3 linked regions of the Nothobranchius furzeri genome follow. The protein of the gene in region 2 binds, or shares a complex with, the protein of the main gene of each other region. Links are inferred from orthologs where the notes say so. Each region holds a gene or a part of one and is shown on either strand. Other genes may lie near its edges.

Region 1 (7,100 bases), on a different chromosome or scaffold from region 2:
GAATGCCGACCTTAACCCGATCATAACCCGGATATTGGCTGCATGTAAACGTATAGAATGATGTGCTCACACTTTACTTCTGATTGGCTAACCGAATGCATTCAGCCATGTTGCAAAGTCTCTATCATCAAGACAGTGTCGGCTTTCTCTCCTCTCTGCAATAAAAATGAAAAGAGCCTTCCTGTAGGCGGGTTTGAGCCAAGAAGAGCAGGGCCATCAATGCAAATTCTCAGTGTGACATAGATTTGTAAGGATTTTCAAATCCTAGCATTTCACTATCTATTTTCTATCAGAAGCTATTGCATGTTCAGCCTGCATGAAAAACTCCGTGGACCACACCTTTAAAGAAAGTTACTTTAAGGCGTTTTACTGATCACACCTGTCCCCTCAGTGCCTTGGCTTCTATTCTGTGTGCCTGGTTGGATCAATGTCCTGAAGACTTCCAGGAGCCTCCAGACTACCCCAGCCTCCACAGGCTGATGGACTACCTACGCAAAGCTCTTCCTGGTTCAGAGGCTCTCAGACGGGCAGAGAGTCTGCTGGAGCAGCTGCAGGGTCAGGCCAGCATGGACGAGAGCGATGGTATTGTTTCTAAACCCCATCTTTACATATGTTTTGGATTTTATCAGTTAAAAGTCATTACTAACTCATTTATCTGATTTCCTCTGCTTTCAGCTGGTTTCCACGGCAACGGCTCTTTCTGCCTTGGGGAAGAAGAAGAGGTAGAGATCGAGGTCCAGGATGACTTCCTGTCATTTGAGGCCGACCTGGTGGCCGAGCAGCTGACCTACATGGATGCGGTGAGTGGAGGGAGGTCGGGTGAAGGCAAAGAGAAAAAAAGGAGGGTCAGTGCTTTTATGTAGTCTTTTTTTTTCTTCCAGCTGCTGTTTAAAAAGGTTGTACCTCACCACTGCCTGGGCTCCATCTGGTCTCAGAGGGACAAGAAAGACAACAAGCACACCGCTCCCACCATCCGGGCCACCATCACTCAGTTCAACGCCGTGGCGGCCTGCGTGGTCAGCACGGTGCTGAAGCACAGGCAGCTCAGACCGCATGTCAGGGCACGGGTCATCCAGCGCTGGATCGACATCGCTCAGGTCAGGGAGAGACGCGCAGCCACAGACTGGTCTAATCTGCCACACTGAGTTGAGTTCTGACTGCCTTAGTTTGTTTTTTCCTTTAACAGGAGTGTCGAATACGCAAAAACTTCTCATCTCTGCGAGCCATCGTGTCAGCGCTGCAGTCCAATCCTCTCTACAGGCTGAAGAGAGTGTGGGCATGCGTGCACAAGTGAGCCTCCAGTCTCTCAAACGTGTATTTGTCATAGGCGGATATGGGTTCATCTTAATTCACGTGCACATTGTATCTGCTGCATCTTCTGAAATGAATCTGTGTCTCACGCAGAGACAGCATGCAGACGTTCGAGGAGCTCTCAGACATTTTCTCTGACCACAACAACTACCTTACCAGCAGAGAGCTGCTCATGAGGGTGAGTCCTACGACTGCAGTCCAAACCCATTCATTAGATTCATGTGTTGCCGAGGCTCTTAACCACTCCGTGCACAAGCCCCAGGAGCATTTTTTCACTCACTGGATTGAATCTTGAGGACAAAAGCTAATTTTGTTCACCTTCCAGGAAGGTACTTCAAAGTTTGCCAGCCTGGAGAGCTGTGCCAAGGAGCACCAGAAACGCACCCACAAGAGACTCCAGCTGCAGAAGGAAATGGTGAGGCTAATTCGAGTGTTAAAAATACAAGACGCACAAGTGGATGACACATTCTGCACTAACAGTGCACTGTAAGGAGAAATTCTTGCTTCTCCAGGATAATGAAACCATGTGCTTATCTGTGTTTACCCGGTGCACTGTGTACTGTTCTCATGTTAAACCGAAGGTCTGATTTACAAGTCTGCGTCACCATCTGTGAAGACCACAAAGTAAATGATTGAATATGGAATATTGAGTCCTAGCAGCTCTGGCTGTAGATGAGAGGGTTTGTTGTAGATTTGCATTTGTAAGTTGTATTAATCACTTTGTGTGTCTGGTGGATCTCAATTCATATCTGGCATTATAACTCATTCAATCTGGTCCAGCATAGCAAATAATAATAAACAAACAAACAAACCTGCTACCAGAAAATGTTCAAGGGGAGATGGGGGGGGGGGGGGGGGGGGGGGGGGGGTTCGGATGGCACACCAAATTCGTCCCAGTAGTGACTAGCCTGCTGTGCATTTGCATTGCTCCTTCAATGGTTTTGATTAAAAAGCAACAGACCTGTGCATCCAGCACATTGACCTCAAATTTGAGAAGCACAAACATTTCAGAGGAAAAGACAAAATATCAAACAACGAATACAGTTATTTCAAATGTCATTGTTTTAAAATGTTTAAAACTCTTTATGTTCCTGTTTAACAACAATATCCTCTTGGATCTTTATATTTTTTGGGGAGAAATGGTGAGCCTCAGTTACACACTTAGTTACGGTCATATTAATTGAATCGTGACAAATCGCTCGTCATGAAGAAAAGAAAGTTGGGAGAAAGCAGGCAGGAAGTAACCTAAATGGCCTGTATTTGATATAGCGCCTTCTAGAGTCCTGGAACCCCTCAAGGCGCTTTACAACACAATCAGTCATTCACACACACATTCACACACTGGTGGGGATGAGCTACAATGTAGCCACAGCTGCCCTGGGGCGCACTGACAGAGGCGAGGCTGCCGAGCACTGGCGCTACCGGTCCCTCCGACCACCACCAGCAGGCAACGTGGGTTAAGTGTCTTGCCCAAGGACACAACGACAGCGACAGACTGAGCGGGTCTCGAACCTGCGACCTTCCGATTGCGAGGCGAGCACTTAACTCCTGTGCCACCGTCGCCCCTTTACTCAAAACCCGACCTAATCCATATGACCTTTGTTACAGCAGTAAGGATGTGTATATACACACCAATCATCCTGTATCGTCAGCAGCGCTTCCCCTGAACTCTACACTACACCTCTATATATGTTAGTAGTGCTCTGCTGCCACCTAGAACACAACATTTTCAATGTTCCATGTACATTTACGCTTCATCAATAACACATGTACTAATATCTACCTTCAAAAATACTTTATTAATCCCCGAGGGAAATTGATTGCTGTGTCCCAACAAGTACTACAATGTTTACCTAAAGACCAAAGTGATCAAATAGGCCTGCTCATCGAGGTGTCTGTGTCATTATTTTTGATAAGAAACATACATAGCTTGGGGGCCAATCCCCCCCCCCCCCCCCCCCCCCTCTCCTTTGGGGGCTCTTGTATGTTCGCTCTGTGTAATCCTTCCATTATTTTAATTCTTTTTTAAACACAGCGTAGCGGAAGATTTGTTTTTACCTTCTTTTTTTTTGGCTGACAAGTTTTGACAAACACTCTGAGAAAGGCTACAGCGTTAGCCGAAACCTGTCTGCAAAAAAAGGGTAAAAACAAACCTCCCCTTTTAGGAGATATGTGAGCCTAAACCGTTTCCTCTTGAGCATGCTTCAGGGATGTCAGATTACTTTGTTAATCAAAAGGACTTTTCCCCACAGGGAGCGATGCAGGGAACAATACCATACTTGGGGACTTTTCTAACCGATCTGACCATGATGGACACAGCCCTGCCAGACCTAGTGGAGGTAAAAATAAATCACCTGCTGTCTGTGTTGTGTGGGATAGGAGAGCATATGTCTGTAGGTTGAAGGAGCTCTGCAGACCTGAAGTTTCCATTAATGAAAGAGGATTTCTGTTGGTTTGTTTTGGGGTGGGCCACCTTCTGTTTGCTTAGGCAGCTTCATTTGGTACGTTCTTTCTAGGGATGTAAGAAAATATCGATATGACAATATATCGTGATATTTTTTCCAGCAATATTATATCGATATTCAAAAGCCGTGTATCGGAAATATCGATATGGCAATATATCGTGATTTTTTCCCTGTAATTAATACATTGATATTCAAAAGCTGTGTATCTAATTCTTGAAAGAATTTACATGCAAACATTTGTGTATTTTCTTTTCGTTTTGTGCAATTCAATCACCACCCGCTAGTTGGCAGCAGTGTGCAACGAGTTTTGTTTCCACCATTGAAATGTAAATCCCTCCCTCATGGTTCAGATACCTCATGTTAAACATGTTACGTATCAGTTTGGACTGTTTACTGAACATTCTTACAATAAATTCAGTAAAATAAATTGTTTGTAACGTCTGACTGAATGTATCGCAACATATCGTGATTTATCGTATCGTCTCCCCTGTATCGTGATGTGTATCGTATCGCCAGAATTTCAAAAATACATATCCCTGGTTCGTTCTGTGTTTATCAAAAAATGTCAAAAAACAAATCTTTATTACTCTGTGTGCCAAAAAGAACCAAATGATGGACTTTGCTTAAGCAGCTGTTGGTATGGGGGTCCCAGCTCTGACGGCGTGTTTCTTTTCATCTTCTGCAGGGTGGCCTGATCAACTTTGAGAAGAGACGCAGGGTGAGGGTTTCCTCTGACACCATAAGCCCTGACAATGATTGAGAGGCGGTGCTAAAGTAACGAGTTTGATGTTTTAAGCCCGTGTGCTGCTTTTCTCTGGTCTCTGCAGGAGTTTGAGGTCATAGCTCAGATTAAGCTGCTCCAGTCAGCCTGTAACAGCTACTGCCTGACTCCAGACACGGCTTTCCTCCGCTGGTTTAAGAGCCAGCTTCAACTCAGCGAGGAGGAGAGGTACTGCTCCTGTTTGCTTTTACTCTGGATGCCTTCTCTTTTTCCTTCTCTTCACCATTAAGAAAATTGCTGCAGCTTCTTTCCCTCAGTTTTTACTACTTCCCCTCATCACACCTCAACTCCCCACTGGCCCGTTGTGCTTGTATTTGTTTGCCTTCTCTGACTACTGCTAATCCAGTTCATAAAAATCCCCACGCACATGATGTGGTAGTGACTTTTTAAATTATGTTGAGGGTTCACCGTTACTACTCTGCTTTGCAGCTATGCCATGTCTTGTGAGATTGAAGGCCTCGGCGACAGCAGCCCGACTTTACTCAAAACTCGTAAGAGCATGGTGAAGAGACTCAGCCTGTGAGTTCCCTCAGAAAAACAGATGAGCGATCGATGCAACATTAAAGTTCTTCCACTAACGTGTATCTCCCTGCCTCTGTCGTCCAGGCTGTTTCTTGGAACAGACAGTAACACAGCCAGCTCCCCAGTCAGAGAGACGCCTCGCTCGCCCCCTACTGGCAGCTCCGGGGAGAGCATGGACTCTGTCAGCGTGTCCTCCAGTGACTCCAGCAGCCCGTCGGACAGCGAGGGACACACAACACCAACACACACATCTGACTCACAACTCTCCCATCAAAACAAGGTAGAATTATGTTTTTATAGCATTTATACAACATCTCCAATAAATTTAGCCCTTAAAGGGATACTAGGCAACTTTTTCAAAATTTTAAATCACGTTCTTAAGCCAGTATGAGCTAAAATGAGCCTTTACAGGGTTAATAAAACGTCACTCAGACCCCCACCGCCCTCTGTGGCCAGAATATGACGTTTGCAACTTCCGAGTTGCTGGTGTGGAAGCTGAAAAAAATGGGGCCGACATACCTGGCGCTGCGATCTGCTTCCAGCATGTTTCCTGCATGTTTTCGATCGTGAACACAGCTGGTTTATTTAATTCTGTGATGAACCACTCCTGTAGACACTAAGGAAGACTGGGAGATGTTTCAGCTGTTAGATTAAGGCGTCAGAAAAAGGTAGAATGCCTCCTCCGGGTCAGGGAGGAGGTCCTGCCAGGGGTGGACTGGGACCAAAATTGGGCCCTGGCGTTTTTATGAACTGTGGGCCCTCAGAGTGGGGTGGGGGTGGAGGGGGGTCGAATTTGGGGGGGGGTGGGGGGGGTTGGGGGATTTGTTGCTCGCGGACTCTTGATGGCCCAAGCTGGGTAAGCGGCCCACTTGGCTAAGCGGCGCACCGGCACAGTGCCAGATGAGCCAGTCCACCCCTGGGTCCTGCCCCAAGTGGAGGAGCGCGAGATCTATAAGTGGATTGGTGCTGCATCTGCGGTGATGTGGGCGTTGTACTGGTCTGTTGTGGTGAAGACAGAGCTGAGCCAGAAGGCAACGCTCTCAATTTACTGGTCGATCTACATTCCTACCCTCACCTATGGTCACGAGCATTGGGTAGTAACTGAAAGTACGAGATTGTTGATACAAACGGCGGAAATTAGTTTTCTCCGCATGTTGTCAGAGATAGGGTGATCATCCGGGAGGGGCTCGGAGTAGACCCGCTGCTCCTCCACATCAAGAGGAGCCAGTTGAGGTGGCTCAGGCATCTGATTAGGATGCCTCCTGGACACCTCCCTAGTGAGGTTTTCCAGACACGTCCAACCAGAAGGAGGCCTAGAGGGAGACCCAGGACATGATAGAGAGACCATGTCTCTCGCCTGGCCAGGGAACGCCTTGGGATTCCTCCAGAAGAGCTAGCCCAAGTGGCGGGAAGAGGGAAGTCTGGGCCTCTCTGCTTCTTCTGTAGCCCCGTGACCCAACTCCAGATAAGCAGAAGAGAATGGATGGATGGATGAATTAAGGTGTTTAAAAGACAAACGCACAGTGAGAAGATAACTTTTGCTTTTGGTTCTACTAAACAAACACTAGGGGGTACTAAAAGCAAACCAAAACTGCCTAGTCTCTCTTTAAAACATAAAAGTTGGTAAAAAATTGAAAAACAATATTTCACACTTACAACAACACTATCTAATCTATGTCAAAGTAACACATATTCTCTGTTTGAAACGTTTGGCTTCAGTCACAGTAGAAAGCAGAAATATGCATTTTTGGGGGCTTTTCATCAGAAACACCAGTTAAATTTTCTCTAACATCCAGAAAACAAAACCTCTCATTAACAAAGACAATTATTTCAAGAGTTGATTTCAAGGTTGACGCCTGAAAAGACAGAGATGGTTTTATCTGTCTGCTAAACATTTTATGTGAAAAATTCAACAGTTTAAAATGTTAATCAAAAAGTGCCAGAAGTAAAATAAAAAACAACAATTCAATAAACCCAACAAAACAAGAAAAGTGGGACAACATTTAAGTCCTGCTTCTGCC
Region 2 (7,774 bases):
TTTCTAATGATTAGATTTTATGATATATTATATATTAAACAATACTGTGAATAATGTGCTGAACCTTGACTGGAAGAAAATTATAACTGAACTGAAATCTCAATTTCTCAGATAGAAATCACAATTCAACCTTTATCTTAAAATCATACAGTTCTAGCACCTACACTCATAACTTTGAAGAGTAGTTAAGCTTCTGTTTTGGGTTGCTAACTGATACAAGCTAGGGTCCAAATACCAATACTCACACTGCGCCCTACGGTCTTCAGCAAAGTGCACTTGGTAGAAGTGCGCAGTAAGGTTTTGCGTGTGTGGTAAACAAGTGAGCAATTGCCGAATTGGGAAAGTGAACATTGCGTCATCGACCACAACGCATCAAGGTCGTTGACTGTACTACTTTAAAAATAATCTTTATTAACCACTTTCAAACAAACACACCTTAATCTAACAGCTGAAACGCCTCCCAGCCTTCCTTAGTGTCTAGAGTGCTGATTCATCACTAAATTAAACAAATCAGCTGTGTTAATACAGGAAATGTGACAGACGCAGACTGCAGCGCCAGGTATGCACGCCCATTTTTTCCAACAGACCAGACCGGCAACTGTGAAGCTGCAAGTGGGATATTCTGGCCACAGGGGGCGCTAGGCCTTTCATTAACCCTGGAAAGGGTCATTTTAGCACATACTGGCTCAAGAAAATGATTTAAAAATATGAAAAAGTTGCTAAGTATCTCTTTTAAAATGCTTTAGAGAAAACTACCGTTACTGCAGCCCAAAAGTAATTCAGCTGACTAAAATGTCAGGAAGTGTCAAAATTGGGATTTGTGGCATAAACTGTTAAATTCATCTTTTAACATTACTAATATAATCTGGTTTTAACATCAAAGGTCATCTTATCATCTCCCCTTTTCAGTGATATATATCATATCGCCAGATTCTGGCCAATACACCAAGGAGGTTTTTAAAAAACAACAACAGGACTTACAGTGTTAGCCATGCTTCACTTATATGCTAGATTTTTACTCCTGGCCTGGGTATGATCTCACTGACCTTTTTTAATTCGTGAAAAACATGATACACATTTTTAATTGCTCAGCCCCGACTGTGTTAATGTCTCTGATGACATGTTTACATAAAAGATGCCACGGGACGCAGCTTCATTATCGCCCCTTTCTAGTTGTAGCGGGGCACTCTGCTTTCTAGAAGAGTTCAAATTACAGAGAGGTTTCTGTCAAAGCCCTTTTTCCATCACGCAGATGGCTGCCATCAATTGGATCCAACAGGAATAATTACAGACGAATCCAATGAGCTGCCATACTTTCAGATGCTATCTGGTGTCTGGGTAATTCATGGTAGAGCGCTAACCTGCCACAGCGTTTCAATAATTGATTGAAATCATGATGAGATTGTTCACACTGCATGTGGCTGGCACTGAGGAGCTTGGCCAGGAGCCAAGCATGAAAAGTCATTAAAAACCTGTTTGGTGTCTTTTTAAAACCCAAAACCAGTAAAGCCAGTTACAAGCTTTTAAAAAGAGTTTCTCATTATTTTTGCATCCCTGCTTCCTGACATGGAAGTGCAGTTAACAAGAACACACATTTATGTTTACCTCAATGGTGGGGTCGTATTCGTCCACAAAGTGGTTCTGGATGAGCTGGATAGTTAGCGCGCTCTTGCCCACACCACCAGCTCCCACTACAACCAGCTTATATTCTGTCATGTTTCACCTGCCGGACAAAATAAAGAATATTTGTCTCATTTGTACTCAAATGTTACAGCATTAACTCATTACAGTGTTCCTACATCTCTCCTCAAGTCAAATTTGGTCAACCATAGAGATTTCCCCGTACGTTCTTGTAGTGATTAAGTAATACAATTTATTTTAACTGTGCTAAACTTCCTCTTCGTATAAAATCAACGTTCATCTGAAGAACAGCAGTTACGCTCCGCTTTTATCACTGACAATGAGCGAAGAGGTAAATGTGTAAAACAACGTTTATGAATGGTGAAAGTTTTGTAACCGTTTGTTACAAATCAGTAAATGCATTTTGTCCTCACGGGCTCCCGTAGAAGGAAACATGGCATCGCCCAGAGCTTTAGACCCGCTCCCATGTATTTTAGACCCGATTTTTATTGTTATATGTTACAAAGCCGCCAATATTTTTCAACAACTCTGCATCATTTAATTAATTTTAAATAGCATTTTGATGGATATTTCCAGAGATTAATGGTAAAACTATACATGATCTCTTTCAATAATCATAAAAAGCTCTAAATTCTACATAAAAAGGGTTATTTTCAAGGGTTCCCCTCCAGCAGAATCTCTGATCCTGTTCCTGTCTGTTATTTTTGTCTGATAAACTGAAATCTGTGTGCTCCGGCCTGGCAGAAAAACATTGCTGATTCACTGGAAATTTTGATTTTACACAGTTGAGTTTTATGAAAGGTTATTTTAGTAATCAACTACAGCGCTTGAGGGGAGAACAAACCGTGAAATCACAACAAATGATCATTAATCAAACAGAGGTTAAGCTAAAATAAGGGAACACTTGTATTTTAATTAATCTGATTTCAGAAAACCATCAACTAAATGATAAAAAACCTATTTTTCTACACAAACTAAATTTGTATAATTACTGATCATTCTGGGGGGAAATACCAGACTCAAGATGAGAAATAATTGAGTAGAGAGCTAAAAAAAAAGGATTAGGAGAAAAACTTTGCCCATGTGATCAAGTCTCGGAATAAAAGAGCACAATGTGATCAAGTCTCAGAATAAAAGAGCACAATGACTGTCCCCTCTACAACTAAAACTAACCACAGGCATAAATCCATAATATTACATTAAAGCTTCAAAATTGACAAGCGGCTGTGAAGCTCTGGTGTGTGACTTCTTTGTGGATCGATGGCTGCAGCTGGCCTTTTCAGAAGTTACAGCGCAAACTGATGAAAGTCTGCAGAGCTCAGACAATGAAAACAACAAATAAGTTTTGTTTTGTTCTTTTAACCAGCAAGTTACAGATTTATATTAATGCAAATGAAGTGATGTTTTTAGATATCAATCAGAAAATAAACGTGTGGGAAAATGTTCATCTAAAGCATATTTTCACCTTTCAGAAAGTCTTGTGCAAATGCAACTGAACAGGGGTGCAAAAAGCTGAGCACAGCCTCGTCTAAAAAGCAGCAGGTAAGTCGTATAAGTCGTAAAGTTCACTTTCACCGCCTGAAACTGCAGGAAATTTTTTATGGTGCGGCTTTGAAAAACTGAAAGTTTATTCCAGGCGTCTGTGCCAGCATGGTGGAGTGGTTTCTTTTCTTAATACATCAACAACATTGGAGAACATGGCTCAATAGCTCAGCGCAGCCCCGATTGGAGGGCTAATGCGGGGATTGATTAGCAGCCATATAAACAAAAATGCTACTTGGAAAACAGTTTGCTACCTGTGAGGAATCAGAGGAAGTTCTTTAGTGACTTCAAGAAGGCAGGAGCCCCTAGGGTGCGCATAAAAGTGGAAAGGAGTTTGATTTAAATCTTCTATCCTTAATAGTTTAGAAGAAAACGTCCTCGGTACTTCAGGCGACTTTGCTGATGTTAGCTAGCTTAGCATCGGAGATCGCTCATTCACACTTAATTACTGTTAAAAAATAAAGTCTTGCGCACTTTCCCGTTGTGTTTTATAATTAAAAAAAGGCTAGCCGATATTATTGTTCTGTCAGCTCAGTGTGTCTGAGCCGAGTCTGTCATCCATTCAAACGGGAAGAGAAGCCGCTATCGACAAGCTAGCTAAAGCTCTGCAATGTAGGGCCAGACGGTAGGTTAACTGGGCGTAGTTTAGCCAAAAACGAACATGTTTGACTACAGGGAGGCTGCCCAGTGTTTCAATAACGCATAATAACTTAGTTTTATTAGACAGTGAAATTCCGCAAAGGCTACATGCTAAAGTCTGCCATTAATGCGTCTTATGCGCTTGTTTTACCTTTTAGCGAGTGAAGTTCCGCGTCTGAAGTAGCGACCAAAGAAGTCAAGCAGATAATCCTCTCGCTTCACACGATCTCTGCATTTCCTACTTCTCACCAAAAAGCCCGCATTCGAGTCGGTCTAGCGTGGTTTCGGGAGCAACCGGGAGCATGCAGAGGGGGAAGGAAAATAAATAAAGTGGGCGAATTAATCGATTGAACTTTCCATCTGATCTGATGAGATCCAGCTTCCCCTCGGCCTAGCCGCTGCTGCTCAGTGTGGCCTGCTGCGTTACGCGAATATGGGCGGATACCAGGGCTTACTTTACCCAGAAACCATAGCTGTGGATTTCAACCGGCCTGGGTCAAATCACTCAAGCGTGTGTCGCAATACGATCCCGAAAATACGCTCGTTTCTTTTATTATTACCCATATGTTGATAAGATCCTCGTCATATCAAACTATGCCCATTCTCCAACTCCCATATCTCAAGTAAACCGGTGTTTTCTTTTTGTTGCATCTAAACTAAAACCAAACGGAATGTTTGTGCTTGCATTTTTATTAAAATCGGACAACACTGATAGGTTTCAGGTCACGTAGAGTGGGTTTCGTGTCCTCCAGCGAGACCCGCTGCTACCGCTGCAGCGCGCCGCAGAGTCAACAAAGCCTACGGGGCGACTCCACTATATATAGGCTCTAAATATAACTGGAATGTGCTGGAGGATGGACGTCATTCCCAAGCAAGGAAATGATTTGGCAATCCCCCGTCAGTTTTCCTACGTGCTCACTGGCGCTGCTGCTGCGCTGCACACATGCATAAATAAACAGTACGCTTGTAAAAAAGCGCAGACTTCTGATCCAGAGGGCACAAACGGCATTAAAGCGCCGAAATTGGATTTCTGTGTCAATAAAATCTGTTTTAAGCATTTAAGAAGGATCTTTGCAAACAAAAGGACCCAGCTGCTTAAACTGAGCCGCTCACAAAGACTAACCAGTAAAATTATAAAATTATATATTTTTTATGTATCTGAGGCAACTAAAAATGTTATAAGTTAGAATCAGGTCTAAATTTAGACTTATTTGGATTGATCAAGCTTTAGAAACCATGGCAGACAATGGTAAATGCATTATTATTATTTTGAATAAATTATCTTCCATCCTAAAAAATTACAGCATGAACATCTGTTTTGTTTTGGGGATTACAAGAAGGTGCTGCAAAGATGGGCTAGACCTGCTGAATAAAATTACCAACAGCTGCCTCTCCTCATTGGAGGGCATTTCCTCCAGCAGATGCACAATCAGAGCAAAGACAATGGAGGATCTCATTAGCACAGAACTGTTCACCCTCTTTCTTCAGACAGAAGGTTGGTCTTCCTCAACAAGACTAAAGAAATGATAAACGACCCACATTGTGTAGCACCTTTCAGAGTCAGAGGACTCCAAAGTGCTTTACTTTGGAAAAGATGTTTAAGTGGGGTCAAATTATTGGTATGCATCATGCAGAGAAAACATCTAAGGAGAAATGACTTAAGATTGGGTTAAGGACTTCCCAACACATTATTAATTGGTCTGATGAGTTCAGATGGACTCTGTTCCATGTGATGGGTGCATCAGGGTAAGAAGAGAGGCAGATGATGTGATGCACACAACATGCCTAGTGCCTACTGTACAAACCTGTGAGGGCAGTGCTATGATCTGTGGTTGCTGCAGTTGGTCAGGTCTAGGTTCAGCAACAGGATGTGCTCCAAGAATGAGGTCAGCTGACTACCTGAATATACTGAATGACCAGGTTATTCCATCTTCGCTGATGGCACTAGCATATTCCTAGATGATAATGTCAGGTTTCAATGTGAAAGAGTGGTTTAAGGAGCAGACATGATTTTCACACATGGATTGGCCACCACTGAGTCCAGACCTGAACCCCATTGAGACTCTTTGGGATGTATTGGAGAAGGCTTTGTGCAACAGTCAGACTCTAGATCTTGGTGAAATATTAATGCAACACTGGATGGAAATAAACCTGGTGGCATTGTAGAAGCTTATCAAAACAATGTCACAGCGAATGTGCTGTAATAAAAGCAAATTGAAATATTAGTGTGTGTGACCTTTTTCTTGTGATGGTGTTTTTTTCTGGCAGGCGGTGTAGCTTGTAGTTCTAAATGTAATGGATGTTGAATTTAGTTCTTAGTTTTGCTTTTGAACAAATGAAATGTATTCTTGTCACTGTTTTTAAAACAAACTTTGGATACTAACTAGTTGTATCCTTTAAAATGATCTACAGATCACCTTTAAACCAGTGCCTGATGGTTCAGTCAGGATCAGTCCCCGAGATAATAAAAGCCATAACTGATCAACTATGTAAAAGCCAAACTTTTCCAGGAGTTTCACCTGCTGTAATTATCTCATTTTATGATGGTTTGTTGCCTCCACTGAATTTGTTTTAATAACATCCAAAACAACACGTGTTGTTACAGACAGAGCCTGTCAAATACTTTTATATCAGGGCTTTAATTTCAATAAAAGTTTTACTTTCACATTAGTATATTTAGATTGTTTTGATTTTAGTTTGTGTCACAAACATTATCAGTTAGATCTGATGTTTATTTTGGGCCACACTGGAGTCATTAAATCATTTTTTATTGCATCTATAACACAAATGTAATTAAAGTATGTTTTACTTTAACCATAGTAATTTTTTTCAAAATAAAATACAATGCAGATCAGTTTCTATTTGATATGATGAATTGTTTTAGAAGGAGTTTTTATGTACAGCCCACATATCAAACTACCAAAGCACTGACAGGCTGAAATCCATTTTAAATGTTATGTTTAATTTAATTTCCTGATGAATCTCCATCCATCCATCCATCCATTTTCATACGCTTATACGGAGTCGGGTTGCGGGGGCAGTAGCGTAAGTCGAGAGGCCCAGACTTCCCACTCCCCGGCCACTTGAGCCAGCTCTCCCGGGGGAATCCCAAGGCATTCCCAGGTTACGTGAGAGACATAGTCTTTCCAACGTGTCCTGGGTCTCCTCTTCCCGGTTGGACGTGCCCGGAAAACCTCACCAGGGAGGCTTTCAGGAGGCATCCTGACCAGATGCCCGAGCCATCTCAAATGGCTCCTCTTGACGTGGAGGAGCAGCAAATCTACTCCGAGCCCCTCCCAGATGACTGAGCTTCTCACCGTTTCTCTAAAGGAGAGCCCAGCCATTCCGCGATCTCCTTCATTCGGTCACTACCCAAAGCTCATGACCATTGGTGAGGGTAGGAACGTAGATCGACCGGTAAATCGAGAGCTTCGCCTTCTGACTCAGCTCTCTCTTCACCACGACAGACCAGTACAACTCCCGCATCACTGCAGACGCAGCACCAATCCGCCTATCAATCTCGCGCTCCAGTTTTCCCTCACTCTTGAACAAGATCCAGAGATACTTAAACTCCTCCACTTGGGGCAGGACCTCATCCCTAACCCGGAGAAGCCATTCTAACCTTTTCCGAATCAAGACCATAGTCTCAGATTTAGAGGAGCTGATTCTCATCCCAGCTGCTTCACACTCAACTGCAAACTGCTCCAGCGAACGTTCCAATGAAGCCAGCAGGACCACATAATCTGCAATAAGCAGAGACCCGATCCTCAGGCCATCAAAGGATGCCCTCAACACCTTGGTTGCGCCTAGAAATCCTGTACATAAAGGTTATGAACTGAATCGGTGACAAAGGGCAGCCTAATCGCTATATATAATTATATTAAGCCAAAATGTCATATGTCACAATGTAATTCTTTTTACATGAAACAACTTAGGCACAATAAGATTGAAC
Region 3 (7,100 bases), on a different chromosome or scaffold from region 2:
GTGGAAGAGCACGAACTCCTAGATGTCAGAGCTTTTAGCAGCCAGTCAGGGAGTGTGTGGGTGTGGCCAGCAACAGCTTGTTTTCTTAAAGTGACAGGAAAGTATTCCTCTGGCTTTTTTTAAATATTGGAACAACTGCTTATATGGTGTGTGATGGGAAATGTAACTGAAATTTTTATGGGCATTTTACTTCTATTTATTATTTCATCTTTGGCATTTTAGAGTATGGACAACTGTGTTGGGTAATTTTATCAATCCAAGATTACCTTAGGGAAAGTTTAAAGCACAGGGGGTTATAGTAATCAATCGATCAACACCAATACCAATCTTAAACAATCAATTTAGACTTTGCAAAGTGGAGAGAAAAGATACACACCAGACAAGGGTTGCAGTTCACTCTCATCAGACTGATGCCTTCCAAAAACTTTTATTAAGCACACACAAAGATTAACGCACACACATTTTGACATTCCTTAGACTCTGAGGCGGGAAAGCTGTAAAAGGGAGTCTGAACTTTCCCCAGGTGCACCCTAAATCAAACAAAACTATTGCTAGACATTCTCAAGGGAGTTTTACTGATAAAGGTCGGTCCCAAGGCAAGGTCATCCTCCTCGTAAAACCTACTCCTCCCTGTAAGACCTACTGGAGCCTGGTATCTATCAACAGGATGAAAAGGATGAAGCTACGTTTAATAAGACACCAGATGCTTAACAGTCAAGACATTAATATTAGTTCAATAATGACAATATCAGTTTTGATCTAACAAACTGCTTTGTCTTTAATAAAGTTTGAAGTATAGGAATCAATAGAACTATTATAACTTTTTTAAAGTCATCATATGTGTCCTGGTAATACTACTACAACAACAACAACTACTACTACTACTACTAATAATAATAATAATAATAATAATAATAATATAAGGTAATAATGTTTCAGCACTTATTCAAACATCTTGATTTTTTTTATTTGATGTAGGAGCTAAATAACGATCTAACAAGCAGTTGAGCTAACAATTTTAAAAGTTTTCAGCTTTTAAATGAAAAATGTTTCCTAGTTGGAATGCATTTTATCAACTCTCTTTCCGTTTAACAAAAAAATCGAATGGAGTTTTATTGCTTTTTGGTAAAATATTCTAAATAACAAAGGCTATATTTGTTAGCAATACAATCAAGTGAATGACTCTCTGTATGAAGCTGACTCCACTCTGTAACGCTGTTGCCAGTTTAAACAAACACCATTTTTACTTCCTGGTACATCTGAACATTTATATCCTCTCGTTAAGCGTTTACTCCTCTTACTGCTCAAACAACAGCTTGGGTTTTCAAACAAAACTAGCGTGAGGCCTGAGGTCCGCTAGCCTGTTAGAGGTTGTGTTGAATTAAAGCGGAAACAGACAAACTGGTTTATCTGCATAGGAAGGTCATCGGAACGAGAAAGAGGGCAGAAGAGTGGAGGGGAGAAATAATGAGAGGGTGTATTGTACTGGGAATAGCTTCCGGGCTCTGTGTGTGTGTGTGTGTGTGTGTGTGTGTGTGTGTGTGTGTGTGTGTGTGTGTGTGTGTGTGTGTGTGTGTGTGTGTGTGTGTATGTGTGTGTTGCTTATATATGAGTTCACTGATGAAGGCCTTTGTGTGCATAAAACTCGTGAGGGACGGTAAACAGGAATCGACGTATTCTTATCTCAGTTTGGTGAGTGTGTGTGTGTAATGGGTGTGTCCACATGATGCAGTCTTGTGGGGGCTGGACTTGGGTTCTGCTTCAGGTGCGTGTGTGTGTTTGAGTGTGTGTGTGTGTGTGTGTGTGAATCAAAGCCTGGAGTCATAGAGAGGGACACGCATCAGACAAAAAAACTCAGATCTGGGTCAGCGGACGCTGGATTTAGAGAAACTCTGGAAAACTATAAACCCCAGATGAGAAGCGGAGGAGAAAACAGGAAAAATGTCTGTGGTTTTATCCTGAAGGTTTCCAGGAAGCTCAGGGATCGCTACCTGTCAGGACTTGCCTTGGAGCAGGTAACTTGGTTACTTTGTCTGCCTGTGAACAGATTTCGTGGGAAAGAAGGACGTTGAGGCAGATTTGCCTCCAACACAGAGAGCAGGTTGAGTAACAGGTTTGGTGCTCGTGCTTTAGGACCGTTTGAATGCAGGAGGTTTTGTTTGGAGCTCTGACCTTCAAAAAGAACAAGTCAAGGTAATATAAAGAGGCTAATGGAAGCTAAAATGGTCTCATTACTAATAATGGCACCATTACTGTAGCTTGGCAGGCGCTTGTGCCGCTTTAACCATCTGTTATAACTCAGTCTGCATCTTAGAACACACATTTGTAACGGCCACTTGCAGCAATAAGTAAAATAACATTATTTTCTGGATGAACCAAAAGCGGAAATTATGGGTTTTAGTAGTGTTTTTAATGAGTGTGTCTAAGGTGTGACTATTGTGTTATGGAGGTGAAACCAGTTGTGTCATAAGGAGTCATTGTGAGAACAGCAGATTGTGCTCACGAGTTTGACATGTAGGTTTTAAAGTGTGGAAAAGCAATAGATGTAAAGTAATGCGAGACTTGAATGAAATGTAAACACAAGAGCAGCCCCACCCATCGCAGCACCAACTGTCATCTTCAAGATCTTTTATTCTGAAATCCTTGAGGTAAAGATCACGGATGAAGTGTTCCTAAAGATTCAGGAGTTTAATTTTTGAAAAAACAAAACAAAGCAGGTTACTTCTCACTGTATAAATGAAGAATTCATTACTGAATATTTTTATGTGTTTGATTTAAGTGGATCGGGCTGAGCCTCCCTGGTAAGGACTATTAGGGGGTTCTGGAGAGGAGGGTCAGTTGGATTGTCAAACATCAGAATCTACATGTGTTCCCTTGGGGGGCCCTGTGGGGGGTACTTTGGGAGTATGGGGTACCAGGCCCTCTGATATGGGCCGTTGGGTCCCTGTATGACCGGTGTCAGAGCTTGGTCTGCATCGCCGGCAGTAAGTCGAGCTCATTTCCAGTGAGAGGTGGACTCCGCCAAGGCTGCCCTTTGTCACAGATTCTGTTCATAACTTTTATGGACAGGATTTCTAGGAGCTGCCAAAGTGGTGATGGGATCTGTTTTGGTGGCCTGAGCACCAGGTCTCTGCTTTTTGCAGATGATGTGGTCCTGTTGGCTTCATCAGAATGTGATCTCCGGCTTTTGCTGGAGCGGTATCAGCTGAGTGTGAAGCGGCTGAGATGAGAAACAGCTCCTCCAAATCTGACACCATGGTCTTGAATCTGAAAAGGGTAGAATGTCTTCTCCAGGTCAGGGACGAGGTCCTGCCTCAAGTGGAGAAGTTTAGGTATCTCTGGGTCTTATACACGAGTGAAGGAAAGCTGGATCGGGAGATTGATAAGCTGATTGGTGCTGTATCTGCAGTGATGCGGGCGTTGTACCGGTCTGTCGTGGTGAAGAGAGAGCTGAGCTGGAAGGCAAAGTTCTTCATTTACTGTTTGATCTAAGTTCCCACCCTCACCTATGGTCACGAGCTTTGGGTTATGACAGAAAGAACGAGATTGCGGATACAAGCTGCCGAAATGGGTTTTCTCCGCAGGGTGGCTGGGCTCTCCCTTAGAGACAGGGTGAGAAGCTCGGCCATCCATGAGGGGCTCGGAGTAGACCTGCTACTCCTCCACTTTGAGAGGAGCCAGTTTAGGTGGCTGAGGCATCTGGTCAGGATGCCTCCTTGATGCCTCCCTGGTGAGGTTTTCCTGGCACGTCCAACCGGGAGAAGGTCTAAAGGAAGATCCAGGACACGCTGGAGGGACTATGTCTCTCGGCTGGCCAGGGAATGCCTTGGGTCTTCCCCAGAGGAGCTGGCCCAAGTGGCTGGGGAGAGGGAAGTCTTGGCCTTCCTGCTTGGGCTGGATAAGAGGAAAATAATTGATGGACGGTTGCCTGTTTTAGGCACATTATTTGTTGGAAAGTTTCTTTCTGAACAGGAAACCAAGGTAGACACATTCTTTTATTTCAGTTCAAATAAGGTTAAATTTAGATTTTTTTGTTTTGTTTTTAGAAGCTGTTTAAATTAGTGGCCCAGGATTATTTTGGGTTACATACCAGCAACCACTGATCATGTCAGAATTTTAGATTAAAATGATCTCAGGCCGATACACTCTGAATTTGTGTTGTAGAGGAGTGTAAAGGTGACAAAAACATCAAACCTTCTGTAATAATTGTTATTTTGTTTGTTGAGTTTGATTAACTAGATCAGCCATCTTAACTGGGGTTCACACCAAAACCTTACTGGCTGCAGGTCAACATCCAATTATTACTTTTTGAGAGTTACGTCATAATCTGCCGTTTTTGGCAGGGGGTGATGATTAAAGCTTCTGACAGCCTCGGATTCAGCTCCCTAACTTCCACTGATGAAGGTCAAACCATAGCAACAGTTGGATTATCAGATTTCCTGTGCCTAAATTCATGCTTTAATGTTTGTGGAAGTGTATTTATTTATCTGTGAGGTTCCTCATAGCTGTAGCTCTCAGATAAAAGTACGGCCCTTGTGACTTGGGCTGCAGGTCATCCGTCTCTTATCTCCATTCAAATGTCTGTGGAGAGCTGCAGCATGCATCACACTTTCTGTTTCCTCTGCAAATGACTCATTTCTGTCTGAGATGCAGCTGAAGGAACGATGATGAGACCAGACTTTGGTCCTGCAAAGACAAATCTCTGTGTTATGGATCATAATGGACTGTAGCTGATCAAAGATGTCCTCTGCAGGCTGAAGCATGAGCCAATTTTTGGGTTGGGGGTGTTTTATACGTGTTTATATGGTTAGCAAAAGCAGAAAAGAGTTTTCTTTAAATCTAAAACATGTTAAAAGGATGAAAATGTGATTGTGTTCAGGTGAACAGACTGCAGCTCCTGTAAACGACGGAAAAAGACAGAAACGTTTTTGTGTTGGTCAAAGTAAAGTTTATTTTAGGGAATTGTACAAACACACTCAGTTTTTACTTCAGACTGTGATTAAAAGATAAGTTGTGCTCCTATCTTGATTATTCTGTATTATTTTATTCTCTAAATTTGTTGTATGTGTCTCCTTCACAGGCAGATCCCTCACCGATGAAGACGACCTGGTACTGTCCTCTGGATTTGGTAAGGAGGGTTGGGTTTTGCACTCAGTAACGTGCATGGTGAATTAGTCGTGCACCAGAATGGGGTAACTGTGTCAGGGACATTTCCTGAGGCTAAAGCGGGATCGTTTGAACTACATGTAGCACAAAGGAAATGAGTTCAGAGAGGCCTGTGTTGTTTTATTTACACGTGGTGTGTGTGTGTGTGGGGGGGGGGGGGGCCTTCTGTCCTGAGCAGCTGATGATGAGGTGTTTTTTTAGGGGTTTTTTTTTAGTTGTTTCGTTGCTTTTCAGTCCACGGTGGTGGAGGAGGAGGAGGATGGAGTGATCTACACGGTTGTGGTCAAACAGCAGCATGTTTCTCCCAACAGTTCCATGGTGAGTTACCTCATGCCTAGGTCCGTTTCAGGAGACCAACAGAGGCTGAAACACGTCCTTCTCCTTCTGTTCCAGTCGACCGTTTCTCGTTCCCAGTGCGTAAAAGCAGGAACAGAGGAGAAGCTGGTGCTGCACCTCCTCCACTCCTTCGCTATGGGAGACTCGTCCTTCGTCTCCATCTTCCTCTCCACCTACCGGTCCTTCACCTCCAATGAGAGAGTCTTGGACATCCTCACTGACAGGTGTGTTCTGGTTTTCAGGGCATGAACAGCTCGTAAAGCACTTCCTGTTGCAGTGGAATTGCAACTGGACTCAAAAGAATAGAAAAACAGATTAATTCAGCAGATTTTAGAGCAACTTATGGAAGTTGCAAGTAAATAAGATAAATGGAGGGTCGTTTGCTTGAGCTCAGCTGTTTGATTGCTAATGTTTCCTTTCATTTATTCTTTGGCTTTGAACTTTTGAATAACCAGTATTGATAGCGTGACCATGGAGGACTCGTGTCATGTGAGGAAAAATAAAATAAGGAAGATATTGGTAGGACAAAACATTAACTCAGCTAAAACATCACATTTTAGCTAAAAGTGACATTTTCCAAAACTAACCTTATAAATAATTTTGTGCTTCCATGTGGGTCTCTACTGCCTCCATAAACACTCCAAACATTACCATCTGTTTTTTTTTGTCAGTGTTTGGTTTACGAATTATGTGCCTAAAACAAGCCGTTTCTAAAAGCCCCAGTTTGTGACATCACAAATAAAAAAATTTGAATAAAACCACTTCTCACATACAAAAGAGATAGCTGCTGGGGAAACAGCGACTCTACTTTGAGTCCCTCCCAGATGTTGGAGCTTCTCCATTTATAGCAGCCTGAGCTGAGGAGAGGTGGGCGTGGCCAAATCTGGCTTGCTTTCTTAAAGTGACAGAGCCTTGAAATGGTTCATTCTGGAAGGTCCTGAAAATGTCAAGACTAAAACCACTGATTTTGATTAATTTGAGAGTGTTTTTTATGCAATGAACTGAGTCACAGATCTGAGTAATCACCACCTCCAGGTTTAGCTTTGCACTTCCTCGTAATGTGTCTAGGAACTTTTATTCTCACCAGAAACTGATTCACCAACCATCTCTGGTGTTGAAGACGTTTTTGCAAAGCAGCTTCTGTAACAGAGATCACAAAAACTAACTGAAATTTAACAAAACACCAGCTCACTTTCCATGGTGATTTGGAATTCAGGGCTAAGGGTCCTAAAACCAAAGCTCACTGGTGAGATTGTTGGATTGAGCCTGGATATTTGCATGATTTTCTGTCCTTACGTCCATTAATGTGTATCTGCTGAGATGTTTATGCTGGAAAGTTTCGAACTTTCCAACAGGCTCTGGCATTGAGCCACATGCACCAAACACGAAAGCGTATGTTAGCGTACCTGACTAATGCACCTAACTTGAACTTTCACTGGGTGAACAGATTTAGTCTTCAGTGTTTTCCCCTCCAAAACGGATGCATCATTGCCTTGTAAACTAGAGCAAATTCTTGCCTTGCAAAGTTTGGTCCGGGAACGCTCCATTGGAATCTCCGCAGCCTTCTGGCTGGCCAATCACAGCTCTCTATAGGGGTT

The links.
Region 1: the proteins of kras (region 2) and rgl1 are in contact, whole or in part, in a crystal structure (PDB 7SCX), measured with the Homo sapiens proteins. The link is inferred for Nothobranchius furzeri from reciprocal best matches to the Homo sapiens genes KRAS and RGL1. Residues at the interface, in NP_001356715.1 of Homo sapiens: Ile24, Gln25, Glu31, Asp33, Pro34, Thr35, Ile36, Glu37, Asp38, Ser39, Tyr40, Arg41, Leu56, Tyr64, Met67; in NP_001284600.1 of Homo sapiens: Ile651, Arg653, Asn660, Gly661, Asn662, Met663, Tyr664, Lys665, Ser666, Ile667, Met668, Lys685, Asn687.
Region 3: the proteins of kras (region 2) and rgl2 are in contact, whole or in part, in a crystal structure (PDB 8B69), measured with the Homo sapiens proteins. The link is inferred for Nothobranchius furzeri from reciprocal best matches to the Homo sapiens genes KRAS and RGL2. Residues at the interface, in NP_001356715.1 of Homo sapiens: Ile24, Gln25, His27, Val29, Glu31, Asp33, Pro34, Thr35, Ile36, Glu37, Asp38, Ser39, Tyr40, Arg41, Lys42, Tyr64; in NP_004752.1 of Homo sapiens: Ile651, Arg653, Glu660, Asp661, Gly662, Ser663, Val664, Tyr665, Lys666, Ser667, Ile668, Leu669, Lys685, Lys686, Asn688, Arg689.

The regions. Positions count from the first base shown.
Region 1 is NC_091748.1:53,018,470-53,025,569, forward strand, and holds part of rgl1 (ral guanine nucleotide dissociation stimulator-like 1), read left to right. Parts: intron 1-391; coding exon 392-582; intron 583-675; coding exon 676-800; intron 801-881; coding exon 882-1,097; intron 1,098-1,186; coding exon 1,187-1,290; intron 1,291-1,404; coding exon 1,405-1,489; intron 1,490-1,636; coding exon 1,637-1,726; intron 1,727-3,563; coding exon 3,564-3,650; intron 3,651-4,461; coding exon 4,462-4,494; intron 4,495-4,603; coding exon 4,604-4,725; intron 4,726-4,986; coding exon 4,987-5,076; intron 5,077-5,163; coding exon 5,164-5,359; intron 5,360-7,100. UniProt on the Homo sapiens protein: Probable guanine nucleotide exchange factor.
Region 2 is NC_091744.1:73,812,682-73,820,455, reverse strand, and holds the start of kras (GTPase KRas), read right to left. Parts: upstream 4,230-7,774; 5' UTR 3,974-4,229; intron 1,724-3,973; 5' UTR 1,717-1,723; coding exon 1,606-1,716; intron 1-1,605. UniProt on the Homo sapiens protein: Ras proteins bind GDP/GTP and possess intrinsic GTPase activity. Plays an important role in the regulation of cell proliferation.
Region 3 is NC_091745.1:62,343,358-62,350,457, forward strand, and holds part of rgl2 (ral guanine nucleotide dissociation stimulator-like 2), read left to right. Parts: intron 1-1,750; exon of another isoform or gene 1,751-1,913; coding exon of another isoform or gene 1,914-2,015; intron 2,016-5,080; coding exon 5,081-5,128; intron 5,129-5,400; coding exon 5,401-5,484; intron 5,485-5,559; coding exon 5,560-5,726; intron 5,727-7,100. UniProt on the Homo sapiens protein: Probable guanine nucleotide exchange factor. Putative effector of Ras and/or Rap. Associates with the GTP-bound form of Rap 1A and H-Ras in vitro.